Linked DNA regions of Drosophila melanogaster. The protein of the gene in region 1 purifies or fractionates together with the protein of each later gene. This does not show direct contact. Each region holds a gene or a part of one and is shown in the gene's direction. Other genes may lie near its edges. The genes, in order: CG1492 and Nubpl.

Region 1 (14,913 bases):
ACTGTTTGATCTGCAGATAAAAGATGGAGTAAAGATTAACCTATGAACTTAAAAACACCGACCACACCAGCCACAATTCTGTCATAAAGCATTATTTTTTTTTACCGCAACTTTGCGCATTTGTATGTTTATATCAGAATGATAAAATGCTTAATACTGTTTCTAATCAAACCCTAAACCACATTGGGAAGTACTTGAAATATTTAGGACTATCTTGACATATGAATAACCTATAAACATTAGCGAATCTAGAATGTTCTGAACATTAATTCAACTAAATCGTTGTTTGAGCCATTGCGTTGGGTTTAAGTTACAATGGTTTGCTAGTCTGATTAAAGATTTAACGAACTTCATTTCGGATTTATGACAGTTTGCTTGAAGGTGCTGCGGTTGGGCAATTGCTTACGATGCGCTTGATGTAGTTGCATGAAGTTTCGTTGTTCGAGCTGGACACCACGTTGTCCACTCGGTACGGCGGCGAGATGGTGACTTCATTTAGGATCTGTATGTTAAGTCCTTGCCAGGAGACTTCATTGTACTACAAAATAGTAAAAGAAATAGCAATGGTTAATGATGATAGGGCATCGTGCAAGAGGTCATTACCCCGTATTGTTTGGCTATCGCTCTATAGAGTTCCTGCGCCTCTGGACTGACATCAGCATTCTTAGACTTCAAGTAGTCCTGTCTTCGCTCAACTGTTTTCCTCAGACGCATTTTGACCTGTATAAGCAATATATATATATATATATATATATTTATGTAAGTGGTCAGAGCTGGCATGCTTACCTGTTCCAGATTAAGCTTTTGCGGATCATCAAAGTTGCCGTTGCACTCCTTGATCACCTGCACGTTGCTGCAGAGCGAGAGGTTCATCGCGTAGATATCACTCAGCTCCTCCGTGGACTTGGATCGGCATTCTATGCGGTTGGAAAGGGAAGAGAAGAGCAGGAACGGGGGGCAAAGATATACGATGTACGGAGAACCAAATTGTCAAGCAGTAAACAATGGGTTTGATAAGAGATAGGTGATATGTGAATGCTATCAGTTAAGATGAGTGTGAATTAGAATTATATACGAATCTAAAGGACAGTGTGACTTTTTGTCCAGACAGCTCAAGAGATCCCTGTGGACAGCCGGAGAAAGTGCTCGCTTTCACCCGGCGGGCAAGTTGTGTGTGTGTGTGGGTATGCATTTCGGGGATTTCGTTGCAAAAGGATACTCAGGATAAGCATCTTTGTGTTGTGATCGAAGGCCAGCACCTCGCCCTCCACCTCCTCGTTGAAACAGGTCGTACAGACGACTGTGGATCCGATGCTGAAGCAGTCGTTCACTGCATTCACTGCGCTCGCAGCGGCAGCGGCCATTTTTAATTGCTGGTTGAGATTGGCCAACTGGAAAAGTGCACCCACAAGCTATGTGGATAGGGGATTCGAATCTAGATCTAAATGTCGATACTGGTTTGTTGGCACGCCGTTGCTTGAACAACGTTTCACAAACAGCGATGGTGATGATGTTGATGATTTTGCGGCAGCAGCAGCTGTTTTGGATGCTTGAATTCCTGGAATTCTCGAAAGGATTTAACTAGCTCTCTCGCTCGCTCTCACTCTCGCCGTCTGTCTGTCTCGTTCTCTCGTGCCGTGCAGCTCACTCGCTTTCACTTGAACCGCTCTAATGGAAATGTCGCTTCCTGGCGATCTGGTCGAGATCCTGCTCCTGCTTCCACTGCCCCTGATCGTCGCGTGAATTGGCCAAAAACTCGCTGGTTACTCGCTCGACTAGCTATCGGCTATCTATTTTGGCGGCAATTGCGGTTCGGTAATTGAAAAGTTGGAAAAGTACGCGAAAAATTTATTGGTCAACACACGAAACAACAGCCAAAAGGGGGCAGCAGAAAACGCAGTGTTGCACATGCCGCGCAGCGATAGGTTCGATAGTCATCGATTACGGAAGTCTGGCAACGTTGCTGCAAACAAATCAAGTGCAATAATAATTTATTGATATTTATTTATATGTGAGTTCGAAAATGAAGACAGATTTTTAAGCTATAAGTGTGAAAATCCAAAGTTGATTGCATACTGAAAAGACAAAAGTAGATAATATTGACTTGTCTAAATGTTGTTGCAATTGAATGTTTCCTTATAAATCGTGCAGATCCTAATCGTTTTACCCCTAATCTCTTGATTAAGTTAAAGGTATTTGCTTAGAGCGGTTTTTCCACTAATAAATTGAAATATTTGGAAAACTTTTATTAAATACTTGTTGTGGCTACCGATAGCATATCGGCGCAACGTTATTTGGTTAAATTCCCGCTCCAGCTAGAGCTGAAAGTATAGGCAAATCCGAATGGGTTTCTCAATTTTTATATATTTAGCGCTATAACTTAATTCTGAGAAAGTAACACATATATTATTGTGCACATCCAATTCCTTGCAAAAATAGAAGTATGCCAGCATTGTTCGTTTTAAGGGAAGCCCTGCGGTTACTTATTTTAAGTCTTCATAAACCATAACCATCGATAGCAAATAAAAAAAAAGAATCGATAGTGTCTCAGAAAGGTACGAATTTCATGCCTCGATTGTAACATCGATAGTTTCACAGCTCCACTTGTGAGCCCAGCTCTAAAACCAAAAAAATTCCCAAGCCATAGTTTGCTTGGGAATTAAGTAAACAAATGGGCGAACCAAGGAGCCAACCACCCGTGGAGCGTCCACCGACCGCGGAAACCTTTCTGCCCCTCAGCCGCGTGCGAACGATCATGAAGAGCTCCATGGACACGGGCTTGATCACCAACGAGGTGCTCTTCCTGATGACCAAGTGCACGGAGCTATTCGTTCGCCATTTGGCGGGCGCGGCATACACGGAGGAATTCGGCCAGCGACCGGGCGAAGCGCTCAAGTACGAGCATCTCTCCCAGGTGGTCAATAAGAACAAGAATCTGGAGTTTCTGCTGCAGATCGTGCCGCAAAAGATCCGTGTACACCAGTTCCAGGAGATGCTGCGGCTAAATCGCTCCGCCGGCAGCGACGACGACGATGACGACGACGATGATGACGATGAAGAAGAGTCCGAATCGGAATCGGAGTCTGATGAATAGACGGTCATGCAGATGTTTATCTACACCGAAATTGAGTGGATGATCTCCATTCACCAAAACATCGACTGATTTTTTACGCCACCTTGCTATCTTTAATTTTAGACTAGACGATAAGTATAAAATTGTTTATAGAACCACTGATTAATAAAGAAGCATAAGAGCACTGCGTCCTCCAAATGACCATAAGATCCGCGGATGATTACCGTGTGTCTGCGGCTGATAAGATTGTTGTTTGAAATCAGAGTAAAGTAGAGCATAGTCAACCTCTTTGTGAGTTTACATGATGATCCTGGATATTCCCAGGAGAGAATGTGATCCTTAAGCTGACCTTGAACTAGAACTGCAAAAAAGGATAACCTAACTAGCATGCAAAACATTGATAGACGCGATTTAAAACGTTAAAGAGCATAACATATAATTGCACTTGGATTCGATTGGTACATTTTACTGCGGCTAAGGATAGATAGAGATTGCAGCTCCTAGACCTTCAGGTTGACGCCGGGATAGCCGGTGGCGTTCAGTCCGGTCACCTTGTAGGTGGTGCCAGCTGGAGCGGGCTGATCGAACTTGGCGGCAGTGGTCACGTACAGGATGTCCAAGTTGGGGCCACCGAAGGCGGCGGAGGTAATCTGTTTGGTTGGGAACTTGATCTCAAGCAGAATCTTGCCAGTGCTGCAATGAAGTACGACATTTAACACTCGATCACGAATGTTAGAGTGAACTACTCACTTGGGATTAACCTTGTAGATGGTGGCGCCATTGAAGGTGGCCACATACAGGTTGCCCTCGGTATCGATGGTCAGGCCATCGGGCAGCAGATGATCCTTGGGACTATTCTTGCGCAGATTGAATATAACCTTGGGATTGCTAGCCACGCCGGTCTCGAAATCATAGTCATACGACTTCACCTCGTAGTCGGTGGTATCGATGTAGTAGAACTTCTTGGCCTTCTCGTCCCATGCCAGTCCATTGGAGATGCCCACATCGCCCTTGATCACCGACACCTGGCCACCGGCCTCCCAGCGGTACAGCTCGCCGTGACGGAACTCGAACTCATCGCCAATGTAGCGCATGGTGCCGCCAAAGAAGCGACCACGGGGATCAACCTTGGCGTCGTTCAAACGATTCTTCTCCATCAGTGGCTGCACCTCGAACAGTGTGCGCACCACCTTGGCGCTGGGCGAGACGCCATCCCAGTTGACGATCACCACGCGTCGACCGCAGCCGACGGCGAATTCCTGCGGACGTCCCTCCACCGGCAGCACGAATCCGGCCAAGGTTTCGCCCTCGATCTTTGTCTTGTAGACCTTGTTCTGCGCATAGTCGTAGCGGAGCAGGCTGCCTGCCTCCAAATCCACGTAGTACAGGCTCTGCCTGGCCACATCCCAATGGGGACCCTCGCCCAGGCCGGCGTAGGAATCGGGCAATGGTTCCACCTTGTACGACATCTGTTGGCGAAATTGGGAACAACCGATTTGCGATTAGTGCATCTAATTGATTTTATATGGATTTATAGTGGATATAAAGTGGCATTTGGAATGCATTATAGCACTTCATGGTTATCATTATCATGGTTGCCATTTTAATTAGATTTTAAATTGAATTAAACAATTAAGAAGTACAGAGAATTCGAATTTAGATGTAGGATTAAATCAGAAAATTACGCACAAAAGCGAAAAACTAATAATTCAAACTGTCAACATTGCGATAAAATAGAATTATCAGGATAATTTATATGCGAGCAATGAGCAATTAAATTAATCATTTAATTTAATTTAAATATTCATTTAAATATGCGATTTTTTGTAGAGTTTCAAACACTTGACTTTCGTAACACTTTTTTTCTTCAATTTCTTTAGTTGGTCCTACTTATAGACGCAGTACCGTTAGGCCGAAAAGGCACACTGCAATCACGGGAATCAGTAACATCATCTTGCGCTCGTTGGCTCCGAATCCAAACTGAGCCCAAAGCCATCGCTCGGAGTTGCTTTTATTACCTCCAGACCAGGGGCTTGACATTACTGGCTGAGAATCGGCGGCATCGTCATCATCGCAAGCGGAACACAATGCGAGATTATTTATTTACTTCCATTTCCATGTTTTAAGTTCAATTTTTCCAAAGGCCGACGGTGGAGCACAATGGAGTTTTTTTTTTTCGATTGTAACATATGCCACTTTCCGGTTTTATATTTTTAATCAATTTAGTAAAAAGTATTTCCAATTTAAATACATACAATTAACATGTTTTTTTCTGTATGCAAAGCTACAATTTTTCGTTAGCTTTATCGAGCAATGGTTCCACTGTGCGTTGCAGCTGTGCTCTTGTGACGTCATGCCCTTCACTTACACTCACATACTCAACAAAAGCAAAAGCAACAACAACAACAACAACAGATGCTGCGATTAACTTTTAAGTTTGATTGCGCCTGGCATTTAGCGATTTTTAATTGACTTTTGTTGTCATTCGGCTGCTGTTATTGAATTGGTCAAGTGGAGACCTTAAAGAGATGCTCACTGGCAGGCACTTCTGTTATCGGACACATGTAGAGGGCACAGTGGGGCAAGAGCGTTCGAAAATGCCAAATTCACAAGTAGCTGCTCAGATGTGTGGAGCATGTGAAAATAATTGAGTACTTAATCCGTGCTGAAGTCTCTCATTTCGAAATTTTTTTAATACAAAAAAAAAAAAAAAATTTAAAAAAAAAGGGAAAAAGTTTTTGAATAGCACATTTAATAGAAGGAAAATATTCGAGCTATATTTTTTACCAAATTTAAATTTAATTTGTGCAAGCTCATAAATTTCTATTTAATTTTAATAATGCTTCCGTTTTTTCGAAAAAGTCTTCAGTATAAACTATGCCTTCTTTTTCGCATCACTTTAACACACTTGAAAAAAAAAAACGGGGAACGCTTGCAGGAGAGCACCTACCTTGGAGATAGCTTAAGCTTGAGCTGAGAGATGGGGAATCGAGAATAGAGAATCGAGAATCCTTGGACACGGCTCCGTTGAGTAGCGCGTTCAAACTGAATGCCACCCGATCCGGCCCAATTCTTATATACCCCAGCTGGCACGGGCGTGACACACAATCTCGCCAAAACCTCCTCCACCTCCACCTCCTCTACTCCGCCTCCACCTTCACCTCCTCCTCCTTCGCCCACTGATAAGCGGAGAATTGGAGGGCTGGATAGCCCGGCCTGATAACAGAGCAACAGAAGTCGCCAACGGGCAAATTAACCCGATGGCAAATTGCAAAAAAAAAAATATTCCAAAACAGATTGCGAAAGTGCAGCATTACAGTTTTGAAAAGCGTAATGAGAAGTTTTCGAGTTTAAGCAGCTCAAAGTTTGAACACTTTTTGAACAGAAAACAGAAACTGAAGCCTAAATGTTAGGAAATGATTTTCAGAATAATTAGGCTCCCTAAATTTATAAAAGTATCTTAGTAATAATGAAAAATGAAATTTTCAAACCAAATTTAACCTGTGTGTTTTTAAGTGCAACATTAAGATTAAACTAACTAATCAACTTCAATTTTCAGCTGGCTAAACTTAACTTTTCACCTGACTTTAACTAATCATAAAACTGAAACTTAAGCTGAGCAGATTTAGTAAAAGTTATGGGGTTAATTTCTACAATAATAAATGCACAGGAGTGGGCGAGTGGCGATAAATTTAAATTTAAATTTTAAACTTGAAACTTTCTCAATGTTTCTCATTTCTTGAGCGCATTTCTATGCTTCCGCTGGACGAGAGATAAGTTGCAGCTCGGCGGCGATAAATCGCATCTGAGCCACTGTGCCAAAGTGCCAAAGGATGGATCTCCAAGTACATGGTGCATGCGGTGGCATGGCGCGGCATCTAGTGGTCCATGGTATCAGCTGCCCAAGTGACCTCCACAGTGCCAAGTTATTTATGGCGCATCTCCCGCTGCCCTTTGCACCCAGACCATGGTATGGGTATGGTATGGTTTGGAATTGGGCATGGGCATGGGCATGGTACTGGGAACCATGACTGGACAGAATCCAAATTCAAGTCCGAATCTGAACGGTCCAAGAGATGGATTGCTTATCGGCAGACGGTTGGCATACAGGTTTGCCCCCTGACTGGTGTTTTTCTATTTTCAGCGGTACTTTATTTACCGAATTGTTATTTAATTAATTGCTGTAAGATTTATGGGCATTATTGATAAGGAAAGCGCGACCTTTTACCAACCAAATTCGCTAGGGTCGTGAGCAATAAATCTAAATAAATCGTAATCCAAATGCTAAGCACTTGAATGTTCATTTTGTTTGTAATTTTAAAACAGCTGTTGGAAGCTAATTATTACTTTTCGTTGTGTTGGACTGTTGCTAGAGGTATGATTTTAAATGGGAATATAGATTATTTAGCTTCTATTGATAATATGTATCTAAAGAAGTTATTTTAAATGGTTCTGTTCTTTATATTACAATCCCAAGCCAAAAAACGCCTTCAAACCGCACGAAAAACGCGCCGAACGCGTAAAGTCGCGTCCAAAACGCGTCTGAATAAAATATATTTTACCGTTTCGCTTTGGTTCATTTTTGCGCGATTTTTGTGCGATTTTGGGGCGTTTTGCTTTTGGATAAGTCTGAACTTAACTTTAAAGCATAAAAAATACGATATATGTTATAAATGTTATATATGTTATGTTATATGTTTGCTTATATTTATATACGTAAATAGATTTTTGGATTGAAAACATATTGTTGCCGAACTACCGTTACATTCAAAAAGATTGGCAACGCAATGTAAGAAGTAAACAGCGCTTGGTGAAACGGTTTTTTGTTGTTGTTTTCATCGATAATGTTATTGCCCCCTGTTCTATGTCAAGGTTATAATAATTGTGCAAATTAGACAGATTTGCAGCGTCTGTGCATCACCTTGCAACCTGTGGTTACTTACTGAAGATAAGCAATTAGCAAATCACAATTAACTACGGTTAAATTAAGCAAGATAATTACTAAACAAAACGGTAAAAGAAAAGATAAAAGATAGAACAACAAAAACGCTCTATGGGGTCAGCTGGTGCCTTAAAGGGCTGCCACCTTCTACACTCATTGGAGTTGCCAGCTGTCTGGCAACGCGCATACGCTGACACTCGATAACAAGGGGCACACATTTTAAATTAAAACGCGCGAAATTCGGCTTGGTATATTGAACGTAAGGCGGTCGAGTTTTTTCAAAATTTTAGTATATTCGATTATTTTGGCCTATCGACGGCAGTATGACCACTAGAAAACAGCAGAGAACAGCTGTTTTTTGAAATGAAAAGGATATGGATATTTCCATTTGAACTGCAATGGTGCGGCAATGGGGTTGAGAACAATGTAAATCTAGGTGCTAGCGATGTACATTAGGATAGGATTGAATAGTTTGATATCCGTGGTGATTGTCATCCTGGTGGCAGTCTATATCTACCGGTATCCGGACGGAAATGGTGGGTACAACGACCAGGAAGCAGCTCCTTGCCCACAATTAATTCACATTTCTGTTCTAGCTGGCAAAAAGAAGGCGTCCAGGAGACCGCCAAATCCGGAGGATCCACTGCCGCCCTCCAATTCGCCGCTCCATCGATTCTCCCGGGCGGCCATTTGCTCCGACAGCGATGTGTGCAGCCAATTGGCCAAAAAAGTCCTGGAGAATGGAGGAAGTGCTGTGGATGGCGCCTTGGCTGCTCTCATTTGCAACGGACTCATCGGGATGCAGAGCATGGGCATCGGTGGCGGCATGGTGATGAATGTTTATGTGGCCAAGGAGAACAAATCCTACAGCATTCTGGCCAGGGAAATGGCGCCGCTGGCATTGCGTGCGGATAACTTCTCGTCATTTCGCGATGAGCAGGATTTCAAGAGATCCGGATGGTCCATTGCCGTGCCAGCTGAATTGGCCGGTTATGCGGTGGCCCACCAGAGATTCGGGCGGCTAAAGTGGAAGGATTTGGTGCTGCCAACTTTGGAATTGTGTCGTCGTGGCTATCGATTGTATAAGCACCAGTATGATGCGCTCATACTCAATCAGGACATGATCAGGGCCGATTCCGGCCTACGCCGGATGTTCATCGATCCCGACACCGGGCGCTTCTGGCCATTGGGTCATCTCATTCGCCCTGCGGCTCAATTGTGCAACACCTACGATCGGTTGGCCAACGAGGGACCACTCAGTTTCTACCGCGGATCTATCGCCGATGATCTGCTGGCCGACTTGAAGGACGCGGGCAGTGCAATAACTAAGGAAGACCTCAACCAAGCGCACGCCAAATTGAGTAGCGCCATTGTGATGCCACTGGATGAGTATGATCTCCATTTGACTCCTCCACCTGGAAGTGGTCACGTTCTCGGCTTCATAATGAACATACTAAAGGAGTTCCGGGCGGAATTCTCAAGAGCCGGAACTATGAGCCCACGTCAAATCCATTTGATGGTCGAGGCAATGAAGTTTGGATTCGTCAAGCGATGGCAACTGGATGAATCCGCGAGCGAAGAGGTGAGCATATTTCCATCTCTTTCGAATTCGTGTGAAATTGATTAATAATATACCCTTTATATTCGTTGATTTATCCTACAGCTTTTGTCGAATTTGACCAGTCATGAATTGGCAAAATCCGTGGCCAGGCAAATTAACCACACACACACCTTTAACCGACCAGAGTTCTATGGAGCTTCACCTGGAATTCAAATACGTGATGAGCACGGCACAGCGCACACTTCAGTGCTCCATGGAAACGATGCAGTTTCAGTGACAAGCTCCATCAATTTCTAGTAATTATATATTAAGAATCTTATTTATATATATTCCTATATATATATATATATCCCATTTCATTTTGCAGTTTTGGCAGTGGACGAACTGGCAGGCGCACAGGTGTCATCTTTAACAATGCCATGTCGGATTTCTCCATCGAACAGCTCAAGAACTACTTCGATCTGCCCTTCGTGCCTGGCACGAATGGTGTAGCTCCTGCCGCCCGTCCCATGTCCTCCATGTGTCCAGTGATTGTCACGGAACGCGCCACTGGCAACGTTCGCTTGGTTGTGGGTGCCGCTGGCGGTACCAAAATAATCTCTGCCCTCTCTCCCCTCCTCGTGCGCATCCTGTGGCAGGAGGCAAGCATCAAGGCCGCCATCGATGCCAGCCGCATCCATCATCAAATGCTGCCCAATGTTCTGCTCTACGAGTATGGACTACGGCAGAGCTATGTGGATAGCTTGGCGGAGAGGGGACATCGATGCGAGCGTTATGAGAACCGCGGTTCCGTCATCTGTGGAATCGCTCAAGCTAACGACACCATCTGGGTGAACTCGGATTTTCGGAAGCCAGGTGGAGTTAGTGGATTTTAAAAAAGTCGAATTCTTTTCACAAACTATACCAAACATATAGTATTTACACAAAGTATTAATTATGTTTTCCAGCAGAAACTTATTCAAACACGTTAATTGCTCAAATATGAATGAATTAACAAATTATTTTTCAATAAGTTAGTATTTAGTTTTTTTTTAGATGCTATCGCACGAAAGCAAACAGTATTTGTTTTTAAACGTTGTGTTACTTTAATGGTACTTAGATATAAAAAATAATTTATTTGTAATTTGTATCAGTTGCTAAAAATAATTTAAGTAGTATGTTGAATTTAAGTTACAATATATCCCTACACAGACGTGTAAAAGTGTTCTCGCTTGCGGTGGCAACAAATAAATAACGTTATGTATAAGAATGTTGCAACAATGCCCAAAGTGTTGAGCGCCATGGAGAAGGCGAGCAGATACTTCCATTCGATCCGAAGCTCGGCACAACCATCGTTTCTAGAAATGAGAATATTCTCAATGCCAATGTTTAAGTATAACTGCAGTTCGAAACTTACTGTGACGCCTCCTCCTGACCAACTGCAAATGCCATTGGAGCCTCGGAGGAGTAGTTGGCCACCACCTCACCTGCCGCCAAGCAGGTGCAATTGTGATAGCTAAGCAATGAGCTCGATGTTGGTCCACATTCTCCGTCTGCGGATGAGATGAGCTCCGCGAACTCAATTGCCGCACAGACGAGGGCCAAGCAGCAGAAGATCAACGCCAGGCCAGTGAACACATACGACTCGGCCAGCAGGACCTTGTAGCAACTATTGGTCTGCGGTCTGTGCTCCGTGATCTTGTGATCCCTTCGCAGCAGTATGAGCCCCGCAATGCTGGCCAATAGCAGCTGAGCGAGAGGTAAGTTCATTCTTATTATACATACTAATCCAACCATTCCACACATTCATCTTACCGACAATCCACTCAGATACGGATTGATCAATATGGACGCATTGGGGGCTAGGATTAGTATCCAAACGGCAAGACCCACGATGAACAGGCCCACAGCTAATTGCATAACCAGAAGCTGGCGAGATATATTCAGATTCCTGGTGGCCTGGAGACCTGTACATATAGCCAAACTTTGAGTAATTGAAATCGAAATGTGTTTGTTCTTTGCCAAATCAACAATGACTGTGTGACACCCACACACTCCATCATATAGCTTCGCTAGACAGCTGGTGTACTTACTGTCGTGGTTTTTGTGATTGACAACGATCATGCGGCTGTGCCTGAGGCTGTTGCGAGTTGGCGTATGTCGTCCGGCGATCTTCATGCCCTTCATGTTCTGCGGCACTGTGGTGCTCATGTAGACGGCCTTTTTTGGGATAAGAGTTGGACATTTGATTTGGACTTTGCGATTGCTTAGATGGCGTCAATTACCTGCGATGCCTGCGGTGCTTCCATGTCGCTGAGTGGAATCTGTTCGTAGGTGGTCGCATAGCGCAGTGCCCTACTATGATCGCTAACTGGAGCCGTCGGCTGTGCTGGTTGCGCTGGAGGATCGGGAGCAGCCACTGCCGGCAGTTCGTCGCGTTGCGGAACATTTTGATATCTTGGCTCCGGTTTGGCAATCGTCGTCACTGCTGCACTCTTACTGGCCATGGGTGACTCATAGTTGTTGATGCCGAAGAACTTGGACTTGGCATCGTTCAGAGCCGCCTTCACAGCGGCTATGCTATGGCTGGTGTGGCTGCCATTGAGCTCCACTTCGACTTCCGTTTCCGGTTCGCCAGCCATTCCGGCCGTCAGCTGCCTGGACTGAGAGACGCCCAAGTTGTCGTAGGTGCTCACGGGACGCACTTGCTGCACTGGCATGACTTCCCAATCGCCTGGCTAGATGGACATTCCGGAACTAGGAGATAACCAGGCGGAAGCAGCGCTCCAAGTGCTACGAGCATAGTACTCTCGGCTGCATTCGCTGCAAGAAAAATGTTTGTTTAGTTAACAAAACTGCAGCTACATATATGAAATATGAGTTCTTAAATAATCAAGTAATGCTTCAAGGTTTGTTGTTTTCAATAACAATTCCCACGCCTCTGGATATGCAACTATTTTCGTAAGTAAATATGAGATCCTAAATGTTTATATTTTGAGATTGCAATCTTATCAATATATTATTATTTAGTTTTTGTTATATTTTAGCTGTTTTTGAAACAATTTCTAGTTCTATTAATTCAAAGCACCGGTGCGTTAAGATTAGTCATTTTTTTCCGGTTTCATAGATTTTTCCGGTTTTTAAATGGGTCGTTGGCATCCCATTGATGATGCTCCCAATCGGCGAGAGGGAGATGCAGACATCGAGAGCGTGACAGAGAGAGAGAGAGGGAGAGAGAGGAATGATAGTTATTCACAAATTCCAGAGAACGACGATATTGGTATTTGCTGGTTTCGTTACTTGGCCAGGTTGTTGGAACTCTCAAAATTTCTGGGTTCTACAGTTACGGATCGCTGAACCGGAGTTCGTTTAATGGGAAAATACGAAGATATTTCTGCCGCTGTACAATCGATATATAAACCTCTGATTGCCAAACTCCACTACTTTCGATCTATTTAGGGACACACACATATACACACAAGCACACACATAACACACATCGAAATCAACAAAAAACATTTTTGATCGTCGGTTGGGCGGGCCAGACTAAAAAACTTTACAACTTTATAAAGAGCAAACTTGTCGTACCAACAGAAAAACGAAAATCCGATTCGGAATCGTTGCGATGGAGAACAGCGAAGGCGGGGAAAGCAGCGTTCACAAAAAAAAAAAGAAAAACTGAACTAAAAACGAACTGAAATCAAAACAAAATCGAACTGAAGCTGAACTAAAAAAATAATAAAAAATAAAAATATAAGCGGATTGGACGGATCGTGAGTGCAACTGTACGCACCAAGAGGCGAAAACAAACTAAAAATAATTCTCATCGAGCGCTTTAAAGCGAGCCATTTCCACTTATGCTCTCACATCTATGCATGTATGTGTGTACACATATGGCTACACCTCAAATACCTGAACGCACAGGTACTGCCCAACACCTCGCTCTCACTCTCTCCTACTCTCTCTCCCACTCTCTCTCGGAGAGGTAGCGAAACCCAAGCTGAGATCGCTAGAGAGAGAGAGAGTTGGGAAAAGTGCGGTCTTGTAGAAGGCATTTTAGCCAAGGTTAAAACTATTGCCCACTTTCAGTGTGTGGAAAAGCAACAGATGCTTTTCCACATTTTCGGTTTGCTGCGGAATGTGGATGGGGTAGAGCTGATCCCAGAAGAAACTAATAAATATTTAAATATATGTGAAAATATTTAATGAGTATATCTTACATCTGAGGTTTGAATATTTGGAGAATCATTTGAAGGTGGAATTTAGTGTTAATATGAATATGTATCTCCCTTTAAAATTGGAAAATATAAAAATTTTCTGCAATTATGGTCTTGTGTTATTTTATAACGCTCATGAAATTATCATGAAATTATCGCCTAATTGCGTTTTTTATCACACCATTTACATTGATAATGAACTGAAAACTTTTGAACCCATATATTTAAACATTGAGAAAATTGGCTTGTTATAAAATGTATAGCATTTCATAAGATATATGAATATAATATAATTATAGTATCTATTAGTTTATAGAACAAGCCTAAGATGTCCAGGTTTTGCCAACATTTAAATTTGTATAATATTTTACCATAGATAGATCATAAGTATTTCGTTAGTTCTGTGTTCGAAATGTAACTTGTAGATAAATTTCACCTAACACTAATTTGCCATTTAACTGGATTTGCGTATATATTAGCCGATATTCGCAAGCTTGATTATACTAAGCTTTCGGTTTGGACGGTTCAGCAATAAAAAGCTCTTATTCAAGTTGGCAAGACGTTAAGACGTTGATTAAAATGGTTAGTACGGTAGGTTTTGTTGGCCACTCTTTTGTTTAGCCCTCGATTTCAAGACCGCTGAATTGCTTTGTAGTTGTCTTTGCATTTAGCAGTTAATCTAGTTATATCATTACATAAAAATGTTAAATAATATATGCCAACTGAAGCATTGCAATGCTGCTGGCTCAAAAGACCATAAACTGACGTCAGATGGGTGAAAAAAAAATAGGGGGACTGTTTTCACGTCGAAGATGACGACAAAGCCTGGTCAACGGACCAATGCAACTTTGCGAAATGTTGCGGAATAATGATAATAAATTGTTAATCATGCGCAATGTTGGATTGAGAATGAATCGAAAATGTTACGTTGACAGATATGCGATTTCAAAAATTCCGCTTCCCACAAAAAGCTGAGAAATTTGACTTCCCTTTTCCGCTAGCTGAACTATAATCGCCAGTTTCGTTTATAGATTTTTCTTTATAGTTTCAGAGCTTCGTTTTTTGTTGCCAAAATAGCACTTTGTCATTGCGGTATATTGAACCTGGAATTAGGACAACTATAGAAATAAAATCCGAAAGT
Region 2 (17,577 bases), on another chromosome or scaffold:
ATATGGTAGGACTTCGTTTGGTACCACCTGAATTTGCGTGAAGAGTCTCAGTTTGCCATATGCAAACTCTGAAAGAATGCACTCCTTCGATTCGACCACAGATCCTCCAAAGCCTTTCAGACGTTTGACTCTCGGCTGCCGTATTGCTCCATCTGGCACTGCTGCTTCTTTCATTAGGGTGTTATCACTGCCCGTGTCGATGAATGCTTCAAACTGTTGGCCTCCAATAAGAACTGTTTTCATTATTGGCGGATACTCCTTGTGATGCGACTCATTCACTTGAGCCACCGTTGACGATGTTTTCACCTTGCAATCCTTTTCATTATGCCCAATCTTAGAGCATTTGGAACATCTTTCCTTTCGCTGTGGCACTGTGCATTTTGCTGCAAAGTGCCCGAAATTATTGCAATTATAACATTTAACTGCTTTCATCTTGCCATCAGCATCGTTGTATTGCTTTTCATTGATCGTTGACGCGTTGTATTGTTGTTGATGTATCTCTTATGAAAATCTCAAATTTTCCAACGACTTTAGCAGCTCTGAACAAGTGCGTATGTTCATCGCTAATAATGATTTCGTGAGTTCTTTTGAATTAAGCCCGTTGATGATATACGAATTTATTGATGGTTCATCGACACTCGCACGCCGTCCAATAGCTACCATCGCATAAAAGTATTCAATTAATGACTCGCTATTGCGTCGCTTGCGACGCATCAATTCTCTGTGCACATCGGCCGTACTCACTAAACATGGAAAATCAAGAGCGAATGCCGATTTGAATTGATCCCATGTTTTTGCTACTCCACGCATCTTATGCTGCACTGCAAACAGCACAGCGTCACTTGTCCACATGTATACGCTTTGTAGTTGCTCTACCTTTGCGATGAATTGCTCCGATGTGATAGATCCCTTGATGGGATCAAAATCCGGCAGAATTCCTATCATTTTTTTGATGCTTGTAAAACCTTGACCATGAGCTTCTAGCTGTGGCGATGAGAGCACATTTTCCGGTTGCATCCCGTTTGGCGCATGTGTGTGTCTCGATCCATCCAGCGTCTGACGTAAGCGTGTCGTTTCTTGTTCCACAGTCCCTTGTGCTTGACTTTGTTGCTGCAAGCATGCCGTTTGGACCATCGTTGCCAAGTTTGCCACCATCTCCTTAAGTTCGTTGATTTGGGCTTGCATACTTGTACTTGCGTTTTGTTCCATTATATCGTAGTCGTCTGTCTCAATTTCATCACTTTCCAGTTTCGTCATCAACTCATTGATCTTTGCCGTTTTGTTTCCTTTGACTTGGAGATCATGAGCCCTCAAGATCACGTCCAAATCCCCAATCTTTAAATCCCTTAACTTTACACGCATCTTCGAGAGCCTTTACTTCTGCACGTCTGCACTCGTTGCCGTTCTGATTCGCTCTCTCGCCAAGTTTGTCGCTCAGTCCGTCTACGTTGCTCTCTCTATTTTCCTTCTATACCTGTACCCTTTGTGGCTTCGTATGTATACTCTTTTTTTTTTTTTAACCGTTACCGTTGTTTCTTGCTTTTTCCTTTCGATCAACCGTTTGCGATTCTTTGCCTTTTGATATTCCTCGCCGTTTGTCGATCTTCCTTGGTTTCTCTCTTTGCTCTTGTACAACTGTTTTGCTATTCCGTGCCGTATTGTTGTACGTCTCTAATAAAATCGTTTACTATTCCTCTTTTCCCTTATATTTTTTTTTATTCGACGTTTGCTATATCGTGCCGTTTTTCCGAATCTCTCTTTGCTCTTGTACAACCGTTTTGCTATTCCGTGCCGTTTTGTTGTACGTCTCTAATCCAATCGTTTACTATTTAACTCGTTATCTTTAATTCACATTTTCCACTTAGAAATGAATTTGTATCCCACTTCTGAATTGTCAGGTTGATCTTCATGTTTATTCTTTTCTTTTATTAATGTGTTACAATAGTTATATGTCTTCAGTATACATTTGCCATCATCGTTCACGCAGCGAGCACACGTCCGCACTCCCTGGCATCTCGCAAGCAACTCCCCCTCTCTCATGCTCTTCCTCTTGACACAATTATTAGAATGATAACTTCATTTATAAAGTTCTGCATCAGGATTTTGAAGAATATCGAATACTTCTTTTGGGAGGAGTTTCTTTTTTCCAAACTTACTTCGATCTCTTAAACAAAGACTTTAAAGCAAAGGATCAGATGAATCCATGAATCTGAAAACATCTGTAATGTTTGCTAGTCGTCTAAATTTCATAGCGTGAGATTTTCCTTCCTTTTAAAATCAATGTTCAAAGGCCGACAATCTCACCGATTGTGGAGATGAATTTATCCAAATAACTGTTGATTTCATCTATTAGTTTTAACCAAAGACACTAGAATAACACTAGAATTCTAGTGTCTTTGGTTTTAACGGTAAAAGAAATTGATCTAGGGCGATACATTCGTTTGATAGAAAGCGTTGTTTGTACGCGCTTTGGTCCGTAGATCCATCGAAGCCATAGCTCACAAATAATGTACAATTCGTTGTGTTTGGATGTTTACAAAAAAGTTTGTAGTTCAAGCAAGTCATCAAACAGGCCTGGATCATTCGTTGATAAACAGAGTTCTGAGTCCAAGAAGATTAGCAGTGACAACAAGACACGTAAATGTTTCAAGTGCGATGATGATACCCATTTGCTAAAAGAAGAAAGGGAGAAAGATGTTGTTTGTTTTAAGTGTATCCAACCAGGACATCGCGCATCAGAGTGTAAAATAGATGGAAAAGTTAAACAGGATCAAAATACAAATGTTGTACAAGATAGGAAGGAAGAGTTAAAGCTATTAAGCATTTTCACTCCTTCAGGTTTGGAGTTGAAAACTGTGCAGTATAAGTCAATGATGTTTCAAGGATTAGTTAATACATGTGCTGACCTTTGTTTTATAGGCAGAAGTGTTTATACTAAGTTGGGCAGAAATAAGTTGACAGGCTTAGCGAAATGTTTGACTGGCATAGGTGATAGCCAGGTGCTTACATTCGGTAGCTTTGTAATTTCGGTTGAGGTAGATGGTATAGACATGCAAGTTGAATTTCACGGAGTTCCTGATGAGGATATGGGTTTTGATTCGATTGTAGGAAGAAAAATCGTAAACAGCATGGATATGAAAGTAACCAAAGGTGGCACAGAGTTTATAAGTCGAGTTGTAAACCCAAAAAAGGTTGAGAGTCAGAGAATCCAGCCATTGGGCAAAGGATCATGTGCTGAGTTGTTTGTTGAATTCAAAAGTATGTGCATGTTGGGTGCGGAGCAGGCTGACATATTTAATGAGGTTGATATGAGTAGTGTGCAAAAAGAAAAAGCTTTAAGTCTAATTGGAGATTATAAGCCAATTCGAAATTGTTCGACTCCAGTGAAGGTGAAAATACTGTTAACCGATGATTTACCAGTAATCCAACAACCAAGACGTTTGGCAGAGTGTGAACAAAAGATTGTGGATGATCAAGTTCAGGAATGGTTGTGTGACAAAATTATAAAGCCGAGTGTGTCGGAATACGCATCACCAGTGGTGCTTGTTTCGAAAAAGAATGGAAAAAAACGATTGTGTTGTGACTATCGGAAATTAAATTAAAAGATAATTCGTGATCACTTTCCAATGCCGCAGGTTGACGTTGTTATCGAAAAGTTTCAGAGTGCTTTGGTGTATACGACTTTGGATTTAATCCCAGAAATATACCTCCTTTGTAACACAAAAGGGACAGTACGAATTTCTGTATGTGCCCTTTGGTATTACAAACTCACCTTTACTCGATTCATAATGGCAGTCTTAAGGGAACTAATCAACAGTGGAGATGTAGTAGTATACATGAACGATGTGATTGTGCCCAGTAAAAATGTGTGTGAAGGATTGGTAAAGCTGGAGAAGGTGTTAAGTGTTGCCAGTGAAAATGGATTAAAAATAAATTGGTCGAAATGTCAGGTGTTGCAAAAGAAGTTAACTTTTTGGGGTATATAGTTGAGTGTGGTACTATTAAGCCTTCTGGAGAGAAGAGAAGTCCTATCGTTAATTTTCCGTTGCCAAATGATAAAAAAGGTGTTCAAAGATTCTTAGGATTGACGTCGTATTTTCGTAGATTTGTCAAAGACTTTGCAGTGACTGCTAAGCCTTTGTCGGACCTGTTAAGGCAAAATACTAAGTTTAAATTTGATGTGCTGCAGAAGGTAGCGTTTGAACAGTTGACAGTAGCATTAACTTCCCGTCCCGTATTGAAATTGTACAATCCTAAATTAGAAACGGAAATCCATACAGGCGCTTCAAAATATGGTTTCGGTGTTGTATTATTACAAAAAGACCCAGAAGATTGTTTGTTTCATCCGGTTCAATACATGAGTCGTAAGATTAACCAATGCGAAGAAAAGTATCATTCTTATGAGCTTGAGGTTCTTGCAGTTATCGGTGCATTAATGAAGTGGCGTGTGTATGTGTTAGGTTTGAAATTTAAGATTGTGACAGACTGCAACGCGTTCACTATGACGATGAAGAAGAAGGACGTTCCTTTGAGGATAGCTAGCATTATACCTTCAAGACTTTGATTATCAAATAGAACATCGCTAAGGGACGAGAATGAGACATGTTGATGCGTTGAGTAGAGTACCATGTTTTATGCTGAGCGATACTGTTGTACATCGCTTGAAACAAGCACAATTACTCGATGAACGGACGAAAGTAGTGAGAAGCCTTGTAGAAAATAAAGGGTATGAAGATTTTTATATAGAAACCCAAATGCTTTTTAAAGATCCTAATCGCGAACTTATTGTTGTACCGTCGCAGATGGAAAATGAAATAATCATGATTGCTCATAAGCAAGGACATTTTGCTGCGAAGAAAACGCAAGATTTAGTTGAGAAATCTTACTTCATACCAAAACTTAAAGAAACGGTTGCTCGTGTTGTGGACAGTTGTGTGGAGTGTATTGTATTTAATTCGAAAGCTGGGAAGAAAGAAGGTTTCTTGACCCCGATTGAAAAGGGAGATAGACCGTTGATGACGTATCACATTGACCATGTTGGGCCAATGGAGATGACGAGCAAGCGCTACAACCACATTTTAGCTATAGTTGACGGTTTTTCTAAATTTGTATGGTTGTATCCCACCCGTAGCACAGGAGCAGAGGAAGTTGTAAGTTGTCTAGAGCGTCAGGCTACTAATTTTGGAAATCCTTTACGGATTATCTCTGACTGCGTTCACTGCACAGGCATTTAAGTTGTATTGTGAGGAGCAGAAAATTCAGCATCTAGTGATTACAACAGGTGGAACTGGGTTAAAGTTGAAAGGAAAATTTCTAGGACCTTATAAAGTTGTTAAGATAAACAAGCACGCAAGGTATGACGTAGAAAAACTTGGAGAAGGCGATGGACCTTTTAGGACATCGACAGTCGCAGAATATACGAAGCCGTGGGGAAATTCATTCGGGTCGAATGATGTATCAGGAGGGCCGATTGTGGGAAATGAACAAGATCAGGGAACTAAAATGAACGATGAAAGACAGAGCAAGAGAGTAACGCGCAGTGGCAACGCTTATTAACGAAAAAACCAAAAAGGAGGGACTTCGAGTAGAATGGTGAACGAGCAAGTTTTTCAATCGCGCTATATACTTATACAACTATTATTATAAATAAAATAATAATAAGCAAGAACTATTGTCATTAAACAATATAAAGTGTACTATAAACAATTGTCATTAAACAATAAAGTAACACTATAAAGTAAAATTACTACATGTATGTTTCACTACCTATCCTTTTTTTTTAATACAAAGGCCGTTTCTGCCTGCTTCGTTTTTTTTTTCGGAATTGAAGCAGCATGTACGAGAAGTACTAATTTGCTAATTTTTTTAGGTTGAGGCTCTGCATATTCAAATGTTAACTGTTTTCGACCAGCTTTGCATAGTGTAATTTCTGGCTATGAATAACGACAACAATTTTAGACGGAAGCCACAATTAATGATTTCGTTTGAATTTCCTTAAGTGCTTGTTCACATAAGAACTAAATTGGTTCACTTTCCTTAAAATTGTAATATTTTGCTCTTTAGGCACAAAGTTCTCTTCTAAATATAACTGTTAACAGCGTCTGCATCGTTGTTGCTCCAAACACTCAGCTGCACTTCATGACTAAACTCATACACACCTACAACATAAAATGTTTCGTAAAAAAGGGCAAATTAGGAATCCAAAAATGAAAGCAGCATTAAAATATCAGTCACAAAAAAAATTACATTTATACCAAAATTTGCGGCTTTTAACCCATAGTTGCCGCAATGGCAACAATTTATTCAAGACCCTTAGTTCCTCTTTTAAAACATCCTGACGACCTTGAAGTACTAACGCCAGTGCACTTCTTAGGCACTGCCCCCCTCGCCTTGTTTGCTGAGCCTGATTTCACAAAATTAAATCTCAACCGATTGGATCGCTGGCAGCGAATCACTTACTACCAGTTAATATCTAACGCTTCTTCAGCAACGTTCCAAATGGCGAGCACAGAAGACAGACGTTCAAATCGATAATGTCCTTTTAGTAAAAGACGAAAACCTGCCACCCCTCAAATGGCCACTAGCTCGAGTAATAAATCTGATCCCTGGACTCAATGGCGTCGCACGAGTTGCTGTTCAATAGAGCCGTCGCTAAACTTTGCGTTCTACCCAAACAGGATGATGTTGTCAGCTAGAGTCCACCAACGGGGGGAGGATGTTTGGTTATGCAGCCAAACTCTTATACACTGATGACGCAATTTTGACTTACCCATTTATGGATTGTTTTTCTTTTTTATTGAAATAAAAATCTATAAACAACAAACTGCATTCTATATAAACTTTTTATTTATAGAATTGTTAAACTTTTAAGGGAAAAAAATTTCCAAAGCTCTCGCTCAAGCCGTTTTCCAAATATCTCACGTCAAATATTTTTGCTCAGGGGGCGCTAACCTGGTTTTAATTTTTATTCTGTGAAACTTGCTCATTTGGCTTCTGCATTCAGTTAACAATTAAGTGTTGATCGCACCGGTATTGCTATGATACACTTTAACTCAATCGGTTCGGTACGGGCCGCCGTTCGATATACCCTAAATAGACCCTAAAAAAAACTGAAATATTACTTGAAAAATTAACTTTAGCGTGTTTATAAATTGCCACACCACTTCTCCACCACTTGCCTCAACATGTTCTTCATCCAAGCTTGGCGAGGTTCGCCGAAAAATGTGACAGTTTAAATGTCAGCGGCAGGCAGAGACTTTTCACAGAGTAAACCGTTTTACGAGTATTCTTGTACTGCTGTTACTACTGTTGTTCCACTGTTGAGTTTTGACTGGTTTATTTGAATTACGTGGTAAACGTGGTCTAACGTGGTATTCCTATCGTAAACAAACTGCTCGCTATAGACATTCATTAGATGGGTTATAATAGTATTAATAAATATATACCGTCCAGTAAAAATACTCGCTTTCCCAGTTTTTTAATCTGCTCAATCGGTCGCTTCAGTCGCCAAAGAAAAATGCTAAATACCTAGGAATATTAATTGAGCTATCGAGAATTATCGAAAAATGACTTCGCAAAATAGGAATGATGGAAATGTGTGAGAATCGGCTATAAAGCTGTCGTCGCTGTTTTCACTATGAGTTTTATTTTTAGGATGGAAAATAAATTTATCGTTTTGTAACAATGGAGCGTCTATTGATCAACACGATATGGCGCTCCTACGCAACAAAATTAACTGGGTCCCAGGTGAAGTTAATGGCGCGGGGATTGCCTAAAAAGCAACCGATTATTGGAGTACAAGATATTATAGTCGTTGCCTCTGGAAAGGGTGGTGTTGGAAAAAGCACCGTGGCAGGTGTGTACTCACATATTTCGATTCATGGGTTATTGGAGTCCTTTTCACAGTTAATTTTGCCTGCAGCTTGGCAAAACTAGGAAAGCGAGTAGGATTGCTGGACGGGGATATCTTCGGGCCTACTATTCCACTTCTCATGAATGTCCATGGTGAGCCGGTTGTGAACGATAAGAATTTGATGATCCCGCCGCAAAACTACAATGTAAAGTGCTTGTCTATGGGCATGCTGACACCTGTAGAGACCTCTGTTATCTGGCGAGGTCCTCTTGTAATGTCAGCAATACAACGACTGCTAAAAGGTACTGATTGGGGGCTTCTAGATGTCCTAGTTATAGATACTCCACCGGGCACTGGAGATGTACATCTCTCACTATCCCAGCATGCACCTATCACAGGGGTTATCCTGGTAACAACACCTCATACTGCAGCTGTTCAGGTGACCTTGAAAGGTGCAAGCATGTACGAAAAGTTAAATGTTCCTATCTTTGGCGTAGTAGAGAACATGAAGTACACCATTTGTCAGAACTGTAATCAACGATTGGAGTTTTTTAAAGACAGCCGTATAAGTTCTCTACCGCGCAAGCTAATTTCTCTTCCGTTAGACTCACGAATAGCGGATAGCAACGAGAGTGGAGTGCCTGTTGTAATAAAATATCCGGACAGCAAGTACTCTTATCTATTTACCCAATTGGCTGAGGAGATTACACAAATACTTAACGAACAAAGATGTAATCAAAATCAAAATAACAGTGCACATTAAAAAAAATTTGTGTATATCAAAAATTCTTATTACTTACATTTGTTATGCTGTACCGCTAAAACCAATAAAGTTATCAGGGGAAAGGGACTGTTGTTTCGTTTCCCGCATTTACATTAAACAACACACCACAAAACCATGTCATGCTTCACAGCTAAGACTAAGAGAAGGTTTCAAACTAGTTCTGCTTTTTGTGGATTGATTTTTGCTGGTAGTTTCAAAAATGTAACGCCAACTAGCTGAAATCCTCTTCTGGCTTCTTTAATCTAGATTGCTCATCTTGTCTGTGACAGATACAATCTTCATGTTTAAATATGCCCTCCTATAGCAAAACGTGTCCCGGATATTAACCATCTCCACGCTTTCAAACAGGCTCTGAATTCGTGCGCTTGTGAGAATTACTATAGTATTCGCACCTCTAAATTTGGATATACACAGCCATTTCTAATGCTTTTTATCCATCCATTTATCAATGGTAAATTGTCAGTTTTGGCATCATCAACTTAAGGATGACAACCTATACTGAATTGTGATTCCGGGTTTCATTTTTATATTCATTAAATTATTATTTATTATTATTATCATTAAATATATTGCCCGAGAAAAGCGGATTGCCAAAACGAACCGATCTCTGCTCTGAAGAAGACAACGAAGCGACAATCAACTACAGACAAGGCAATACTTGTTTTTCGTAAACCTAAAACAAGGATCGAATGTCGACAAAGTACTGAAAATAACTCAACTAGGCAGACATCGAGTCACTATGGAGCGTGCGCGCCGCAGAAAAGAGTTTTACAGTCTGAAATGTCACATTTTTAGGCACTCAACGAATTATTGTCTTCAGAATCCCATCCGTGGTAAATGTGCTGGATCCCACGTTACACGAGGTCATGCTTTTAGTTTTCTTAATATTTCTATTCTCACTTTGCTCGTTTAAATGGGGCTCAACTTGAATCAAATATTGCTAAGCAATATCTGAAAGGATCAGAATCAATGCAAGACCTTAGCTTTGGGAATAAATTCCTCTAGAGAGATTCTAGAGACGAAGACGCAGAGCTAGTTTGTTGATCCATGTTGCCACGCCCACAAACCGCGCAAAACTGCCACGCCCAAATTTTTGAACCATTTTTCGACCTTTTTCTTAATTTTATTGGAACAATTTTTAAATTTGTTCTCATTTTATTCCCCAATATCAATCGCGATCCAAGAGAGCGTTCGCTCACACTTGCTGAGTAACGGGTATCTGATAGTCGGGGAACTCGACTATAGTATTCTCTCTTTTTTTATTATAATTTCATTTACTAATGTACGAAATATTTAATTGATGTCCTTCAATTTTGGGCTGCACTACACTCTAAACCAAATGCGGCGTCTCGCTCTCACTTACACTTACACATATAAAAAAACACTAACTCAAATTAATTCATTATTTCGGACCGGACCGAGATCGCTGCCTAGTTACGGAATCTCTTCGCGGTCGAAAATTTGGCCTAAAGATTTTTATCATGCATGCCAGTTTTCCGTAATTTCATTTAAATTTATGATTTTCACTTTCCCGGGCCTCAAGGCCCTGTCCTGGGGTCCCACAAAAACAGCCGCCGTCCTTCTATTTTCTATTGGTGATCCAAACGGCTTCGACTTTGTTCTCTTGCAAGACCCAGTTGATCTAGGGGTTAATATTCCGGCACTGCGTCCAAATTATATTTAAATTATGTTTTAGAGGTATCTAACCTGAATTTGCCCCGCACTCGCTTACCCTTTATTCCGAATCCAGCACCTCGATAATAATTTGAATTTTTTTAAGGAGACCCTATAGAGTCTCCGGTACAAAAGGAAAAATGGCGATCTTGATCAAGAGCCCCGAGAGAGGACATCGTCGTTACAATCCAGTACAAAGACCGGACGGAAGAGATACTGGGCAGGCAAAAGGATATAAGATATAAAAAAGCCAATGTGATCAACACAGTGGAAGTGATCGACCACACACGTACTCAGTATGGAGTTTGTATAAAGTTAAAGGGAAAGTTTTTTTTTGGAAAAGATCCTCTGAGTTCATGAAGGGGTTCGGGACGAACATCCAGCCAGGAGGGCCGAAACAAGCCAGAAGACAAGTAGGCCAAAGGTCGCGAAGTGATCGTCAGTCACAAGAGAGCGTATGAGATCAATCATATTGATGAGCAGTCGGACCCGAGATCTCAAGCGGAACACATTAAATCCCACACTTTTATAGACTCATCAAAGTGTAAGCGTTGTCATTGATTCGAAACTTTTTTTTAAATAAATTGGCGATTCCGTTATAGGATGGCTTGCATGGGATGGCTTAGTTTATTCGAAAGAAACACACGTATTGCTCGAATCATTATATACGTTGCCCCGCATGGGGCATTGAACTTATCAATACGGTTAGCATAAGTAATAAGTATCGTATTGGACTTGTCGTTAAGGTTTAACAATAACATTAACATTAATAAGTATTTATCTTCTTACAGTCGGCCCTTCCTGATTTAAATTAACGTCCTCGCTGGACGTCGTCGTCCGGAAGGCGACACCACGGTTTGAGCTTATCGGATGAGTAGACGGACTTATAATGGCGTAGAGTCCTTCGATGACATATCGATCGTTCGTTTTTACCGTTCCAGTTGCGGCAGGCTCATTCTCCACTAAGATGAGATAATCTTTTTTATACATAGTCGGAGGATTATGTTTGGCATCGTAGTATAGTCTCGCTTTGACAATATTCCGTATCTTCTCATCTTAAAATTGAATGCTAAATAGCCAGTCTCCTTCGTCGATTATGGTCTTGGATATTTTTAAGTCGGCGTTGTTCAATTCGTGCGCTGGTTCATATGGAGATCGACTAAGCACGTCCACATGTTCCTGTGGAACATGTCCTGGATGAGTAGCCACCACCGGGCTGTTCTTGGGATGAGTTCGCGTTTTCTCAATGTTGTACGTAATGCGCTGCAATCATTAATGACTTTAATACGCTTGCTATACACATAATATGTAAACCTTTCCAGCGCCTCTACAACGGCGAGAGCTTCTAGTTCGTAGCTGTGCATTTTCCTTACGACCTTCGTTGTTGACCGGCTGAAGTATGCGATTGGTAACAGCTTGTCGTTATCTCGCTGCAGGTCGATCGAACTAGCGTCTGTATGAAGTTCGTGCTCCGCGTCTACGCGGTAGATTACAAGAATCGGTTTACAACTGAGCTTCTGTTTTAATTCGTTTAATGAGTCTTCCTGCTGCTGCTGCCATTAGAAGTTGACATTTTTTCGGAACAAATTCTGGTTTCGGAAATTCGACTACATCATTTGTCTTTACTTCTCCTGGGCTAAGACAGGAGAGTTTCATTATAAAATTCGCATTTGTCGATGTTTAACGTTAAACCACATTCGCTTAATGCGCTTAAAACCACTGAAACTTTGCCAGTCATCTCATCGAAAGAGTTGCTCCAAGCGAGGATGTCGTCCATATAGTGCAACATGTTGTCTTTGCGGTGAATCTTCTGAATGCGGTCGATTTGCGATCCGCTAACAGCTAAGCTTAAAGACTGATGAATGACGAACGATACTAACACAAATATTTTTCAGAAACTTTTAATATTCGTTAATCGTAATGTTGGAGAGGTAAGAGCCGTACCAAGATGCTGAACATAGGATGGATAGGCCCAAGTCCTTTTTGAATGCGAGGGCACTAATACGCAGACGTAACAACTATATGCATTTGTTTTTATTTTTCTGTTTGTGTGCGTGTACTAAACATGCCTTCTTCTACTCTTACTGACCATATCGTTTGTATTTTCTGATCGCATTTTTTCTCATCTCATTTCTCTCATTATCTTACATAGACATCAAACAGTCTTGAATTACTTAAATATCCAAAGTAGGCATATTTAAAACAGTTAACTTTGGTACTTTTCGAATTTGTTGAACCTCCTTCCGAGCTTAGAATTCTCACCTTTATTACCTATGAGCTCTTTGTTGGGATCTTCATTCAGAACGTCGTTCACTACATTGAGCCTTTCACATGTCGGTCAACGCAAAACTTACATGTCACAACTTATCCCCGAAATCTCTCTAAAGCATAACTGCTTTTAATCCAAACTTACATACATCTGTATAAATCTCTGTCTCAAGTGATCGTAAAGCTTTAGAACTTTTCCTTTGATTAACGCTATTTTTAACATTTCAAATGCTCCTTAGTGCTTTTATGAAAACTCATATTTTTTTGGTACTGTCATATTTATGTCTCTAGCATATGAAATACATTCGTCGCTGTACAGTTATTCAGCTCAGCTGACCCGCAAATCCCGCAACCTAAAAAACTGTCTTTCTCCCTTTAAATCCAGTCGTATCTTATTGAACTCCAAGAGCTTCCAACGCAACAATTCCACTCCATCTCTCTTTTCTTTTTTTTTTGCCGACACCGCGGTATCGATGACAATATTTAGATTCCTCTCAGCCAACCGACGCTCGATAAGTAATGCAGGGAACGTACTCAAAAAAGTCGCCGTCGTCCTCGATCGCGCTAAAGCGAGTGAGTTATTCAAGCTGGTATTACTGCCAGTAACATGACATCGATGTGATTTTTCATATGGGCATTGGGTTTTTTAATAACAATAATTTTGTATACCAATTCTTTGAAATCATTGAAAAAATTTTTTTTGAATTATATTATTATATATTTTTAATATTTATATTATTATATATCAATGTAGTTGTATTGTGAGGCATTGGAAACAGTACGTTTGTAGTACTACTCAGATATTGGCAAATGTTACCTTAACCGAACACACATTTGAAATTTTATTCCATGTAGTTTTAGGTGATTAAGTTAAGATATCTTAATTGGACGAAAAATATTGAGCCAAGATATGGGAGTTACAATAACATTTAACGCTCTAAATATATTTAGTGAAAAGTCCTTTTCACCTGTTTGATTTCTGAATGTAAATTTGATTTCGCTAGTGTCGATACTGATTTACGTGGACCAGACCAAGATAAATTAATATCATTATTACTAGACTACTCAAGTTTATTCTTAAGTGGTATTCCACAAAGAAGAAAGAAACTCGACAACAGCGTTCACTCTTTCACTCATATACCCCCCGAGTAAACTCAGAGGTACCAATTCGGTTGCACACTTGTCGGGTAACACACCCCCTTTGGTGAAGGAGATCCTTCTAGCTTAAGCAACCACAGCCACCATGAAACTCCCAGAAGGGGGCCTACCTCGCATGAGCGATGCTCATCCCATGGTACCGATTAGGGCTGGGTTGGCCCCCTGTTACATACTTTTTAACGACTCGAGGATACCCTTTTACTCTACGAGTAACGTGTATACGTGTATAAAAACCAAATAATGTGCTATTTCAATGCTGCATCTTTTCTGTGTAGTATATTTATATTTAATAAATTGTCCATTTAATACATTTGTAATACTAATACATATATACTGAGTTTCCGAGCTTGATTACATTTCAACGAAATGCCATCTCTCTGCGGCTTATTGCAGAAATTTGTAAGCCCAACCCAGCTGCTAATATATTGCACGGTCCGTTTGGGCCGTATCCGTACATCAACGACCACGAGAGGCTTGGAAAACCTAAAGCTATCAGCTCCAAAATTAACACCAGGATCGAGGACGAAAGTAGTCCAGATACATTTTAATGGTGGAGTATTACGAAAAAATTCTTTCATAAACCAATTAAATACAGCTGATCTTTCAATTCCGATCTGAGACGACGTTGTTTTTGCTAACGCACACAAATTAAACAATTTTAGTTTTGATGGATGTCGATCAACTTCAGAGCTTCAAAACAACCTATGGGAGAGCATGACGGAGATCACGATATGGTTGGCGTATGTGGCACTGAAAGGCCACAAGCCTGATGCAAAATGTAGAAAAGGCCAAACCACAGCAGCAATTGTCAAGACTTGGCTCGTCTGGAAATGCCCTCACGTATATATTACTCCAGCACTGTCCGCAGACATAAATGTAATCAAATATTCGCCGTAGCCTTGAGGACGGATTTGATTTTATCTTTCTTAGTCTAGCAGCAATTTCGCAACTGCGAGAAACAATCTGTGAGCTACTGTGGTTTGAGTGAATAAATGTTTATAAATAAACAAGTCGAGAACATTTTACTCAAAATGGTAGGTAATTAGTATCAAATGACTTTGAACATAAAAACCTTTCAATAATAAGCAGACGTTGTCGCTGATCAAAACTTTAGTTGGACGCCGACCTTATTGCAAAATGAAAATTACAAAGTCTGTTTATATTGGGCACATTTTTTTTGTTTACTGAAATTATATCAAATATTATTTCATTCCGTACAATTTCCGAGCAGTAAAATGCCTTTAGGCAATGAATTCGTATGGAATCGGGGCCAGAGCAATCGGTTCTTCAAGTTTCTTAACAAAGTGCGCCTTCTTCGGCTGTTCCGGCTGGCGCTTCAGACTGACCCATTGTCCCTTTTCCTTCGCCTCCTTCAGCAATCGCTCATTTTCCTTTACGCGGCGCAAAAAATCTTCGCGGCACTTGGAGTGGTGGATGTGCTCAATGCGCACATTGACCCGCTTAGCAAGGATTTTGCCTCTTACGCGTTTGTTTACTATTACACCAACGGCGTGCTGAGTCACATTGAATATGCGCCCGGTTTTGCCATGATATGCCTTATAGGGCAAACCCTTCTGTACAGCACCATGTCCCTTAATGTCAACGATGTCGCCGATCTTGAAAACCCGCATGTATGTGGACAACGGAATAACTCCATGCTTTCGGAAGGGACGGGAAAACATGTCCCGTGTGCCGCGACGATAGCCCTTTGAGTTGGTCATTTTTATTTATAATCCCCTATAAAAAAGAGGCTTATTAGATCTTTTTCAAGTCATAATGAAGAAATATTCAACAAAACTCGTTGAACTTACGTCCACGCGGTCGTATAGTTGAGAAAAGAAAGAAAGATGGCTACTTGAATAGCGTTGCCACTGATAGCAATTAAGAGTTTAGAAACTAAATATTATGTACCGTCCACACTAAGTTACACAATAAGCTTAATCTTTTAAGAGAAGCAAAATAGTCCCAAGTCTGAATATTTGGTATTAATAAGGATTTAATGCAATATTTATGTAATACATATATTTACATTATATAAAAACATTATATATAAAATTGCACTACATACAAATGTCTAGATACAAATAATCGCTGAGAGAAGTGTTCAACTCCAAGACGTTAATATGCGCTATGGGAATAATTTGTGATTTAAGCGAATTTGTTGATACAATTTTGAAGATACATATAACCTTAAGGAAGATAAAGTCCTGCCCCATTTAATAATTTTAATTTTCAGGAACCGTTCTGCCTAAGTCTTTACTACCGTGGGACTTACTCAGTATTAATTTGCTCCCTTTTAAGAAAAGTCATTCATGATCTGATAATCGTAATTTTTTTCGAATTCGATTTAGCCAAAATCTTTTGATTTCTTTTTTAGGTGCTCTGCTTTTGGAAAATTTGTTCTATAGTTTGGATATCGCAATATGCATTCAGCGGTAAACAGCTGTTTAAGCTGTTCCAGACAACATAGCTGCCACATATTTCATAGTTTTAATTACGATGTCCGCAATTTCTTTTTTGTGGCACTTTGACCACTTAAGTAATTAAATCAAATAGAATTATTTACAAACAACACTATTGGCTCTCCTTTAAATAAATTAATGAATTCCTTCTATATATTTTATATGCCTGTTTCGTTTCACCAACAATGTTTGACCCCTTGACAAATCCAAACTTTTGTTGCCGACATCAAAATTTTGTTAGTCAAATCTGAAGTGGCGTCAGCAATAAAAATTTTATTAAATAAATTAGTGGCAGAATGATCTTGTTATGATGTGCAATAAGCATCAATAGACCACTGAGTAAACTATTTCTTCTCTTGAGTAAATAAGTTCTGTTTTAATATGAAAAAAGGCATTTACTTTTCATTTCGTGTGTCCGCTTTACATATCGAAAAAATCGTAAAAAAAAAACCGAATAATAATTAATAATTAATTTTATAAAAGCCACTCATATAAATATTTAACAGCATATATGTACATGCCACACTGTTCATTTCTTAGCGTAATGAAATAGTTTAATAAGAAATATATGAATCTATATAGGCGAGATCCGCATAATTCATCGTCATAGGATAAATTGTTTTTTTTTTTTCTGGAATCTAATTTCAAAGATTGTAGTAGTTTCAGCGCGAAACATCGATGTTTTTCACAAAAATCGTGGATGTAACATCGAAGTTTTCCGATGTTCTCTAAAATAAAATTAATATTATCATTTACACTTGAAATATAAGAAAAAAGATTTAAATATTATTAAATTCATTTAATTTAATATGTAGAATAAATTAAATATAAAACGTATAATAAAATTACAATATAAAATCAATTAGATTTAAACTGGTATAACTGGTTATATTAGAAAATTAAAAATCAGTGAGAGCTGTTCAAACAGTTGCATTTTAAGGATATCTTTTTATATATGTACATTTTGTATTTGATTTTGTATTTCTTCGGCATACCTTTAGCGTTCTAGGTCTTCTTCTTGTTATTCGAATAGCGATGATCCTAATAGCATCCATAGTCTACAATAAATATCGATGTTTCGGAAAATTTAAAACGTCTATTATATTGACTGTAGCGTTAGCCCCTTAAAATGGTTAAACTGGGATGTCAAATATTCTTCCACCATCAAGGACAGAACGCTTTTTAATACAAAATTAAGCAAAAATAGCAATTTCTCTGTCAATCTGTCCCGATTAGAAATAACTATGCGTCTAGGTGATGAAAATTTAAAAAAAAAGCTATTTATTATCTTTGGCTTGGAAAAAAGAATTTGAGGGTTAGTATATTAGTTAAATAAAACGAGTTTTTTAATTTAGACTAACATTAAATTTTGCTCAATG

What was found.
Region 2: the proteins of CG1492 (region 1) and Nubpl purify together in Drosophila melanogaster (affinity purification with mass spectrometry, with the first as the bait; one large-scale study listed by BioGRID). This does not show direct contact.

What each region holds. Positions count from the first base shown.
Region 1 is NC_004354.4:12,005,632-12,020,544, reverse strand, and holds CG1492 (uncharacterized protein), read left to right. Parts: upstream 1-8,333; 5' UTR 8,334-8,460; coding exon 8,461-8,551; intron 8,552-8,611; coding exon 8,612-9,597; intron 9,598-9,678; coding exon 9,679-9,872; intron 9,873-9,943; coding exon 9,944-10,451; 3' UTR 10,452-10,759; downstream 10,760-14,913. Other genes in the region: Lsm12a (LSM12 homolog a), read right to left, coding at 1-10, 407-538, 604-720, 787-917, 1,220-1,364; Chrac-16 (chromatin accessibility complex 16kD protein), read left to right, coding at 2,672-3,094; regucalcin, read right to left, coding at 3,574-3,766, 3,824-4,542, 4,979-5,026; CG1806 (uncharacterized protein), read right to left, coding at 10,760-10,913, 10,973-11,304, 11,371-11,522, 11,649-11,775, 11,841-12,275.
Region 2 is NT_033779.5:22,232,249-22,249,825, forward strand, and holds Nubpl (NUBP iron-sulfur cluster assembly factor, mitochondrial), read left to right. Parts: upstream 1-7,667; 5' UTR 7,668-7,683; coding exon 7,684-7,855; intron 7,856-7,905; coding exon 7,906-8,615; 3' UTR 8,616-14,740; downstream 14,741-17,577. Other genes in the region: RpL21 (ribosomal protein L21), read right to left, coding at 14,978-15,457. UniProt on the Drosophila melanogaster protein: Iron-sulfur cluster transfer protein involved in the assembly of the mitochondrial membrane respiratory chain NADH dehydrogenase (Complex I). May deliver one or more Fe-S clusters to complex I subunits.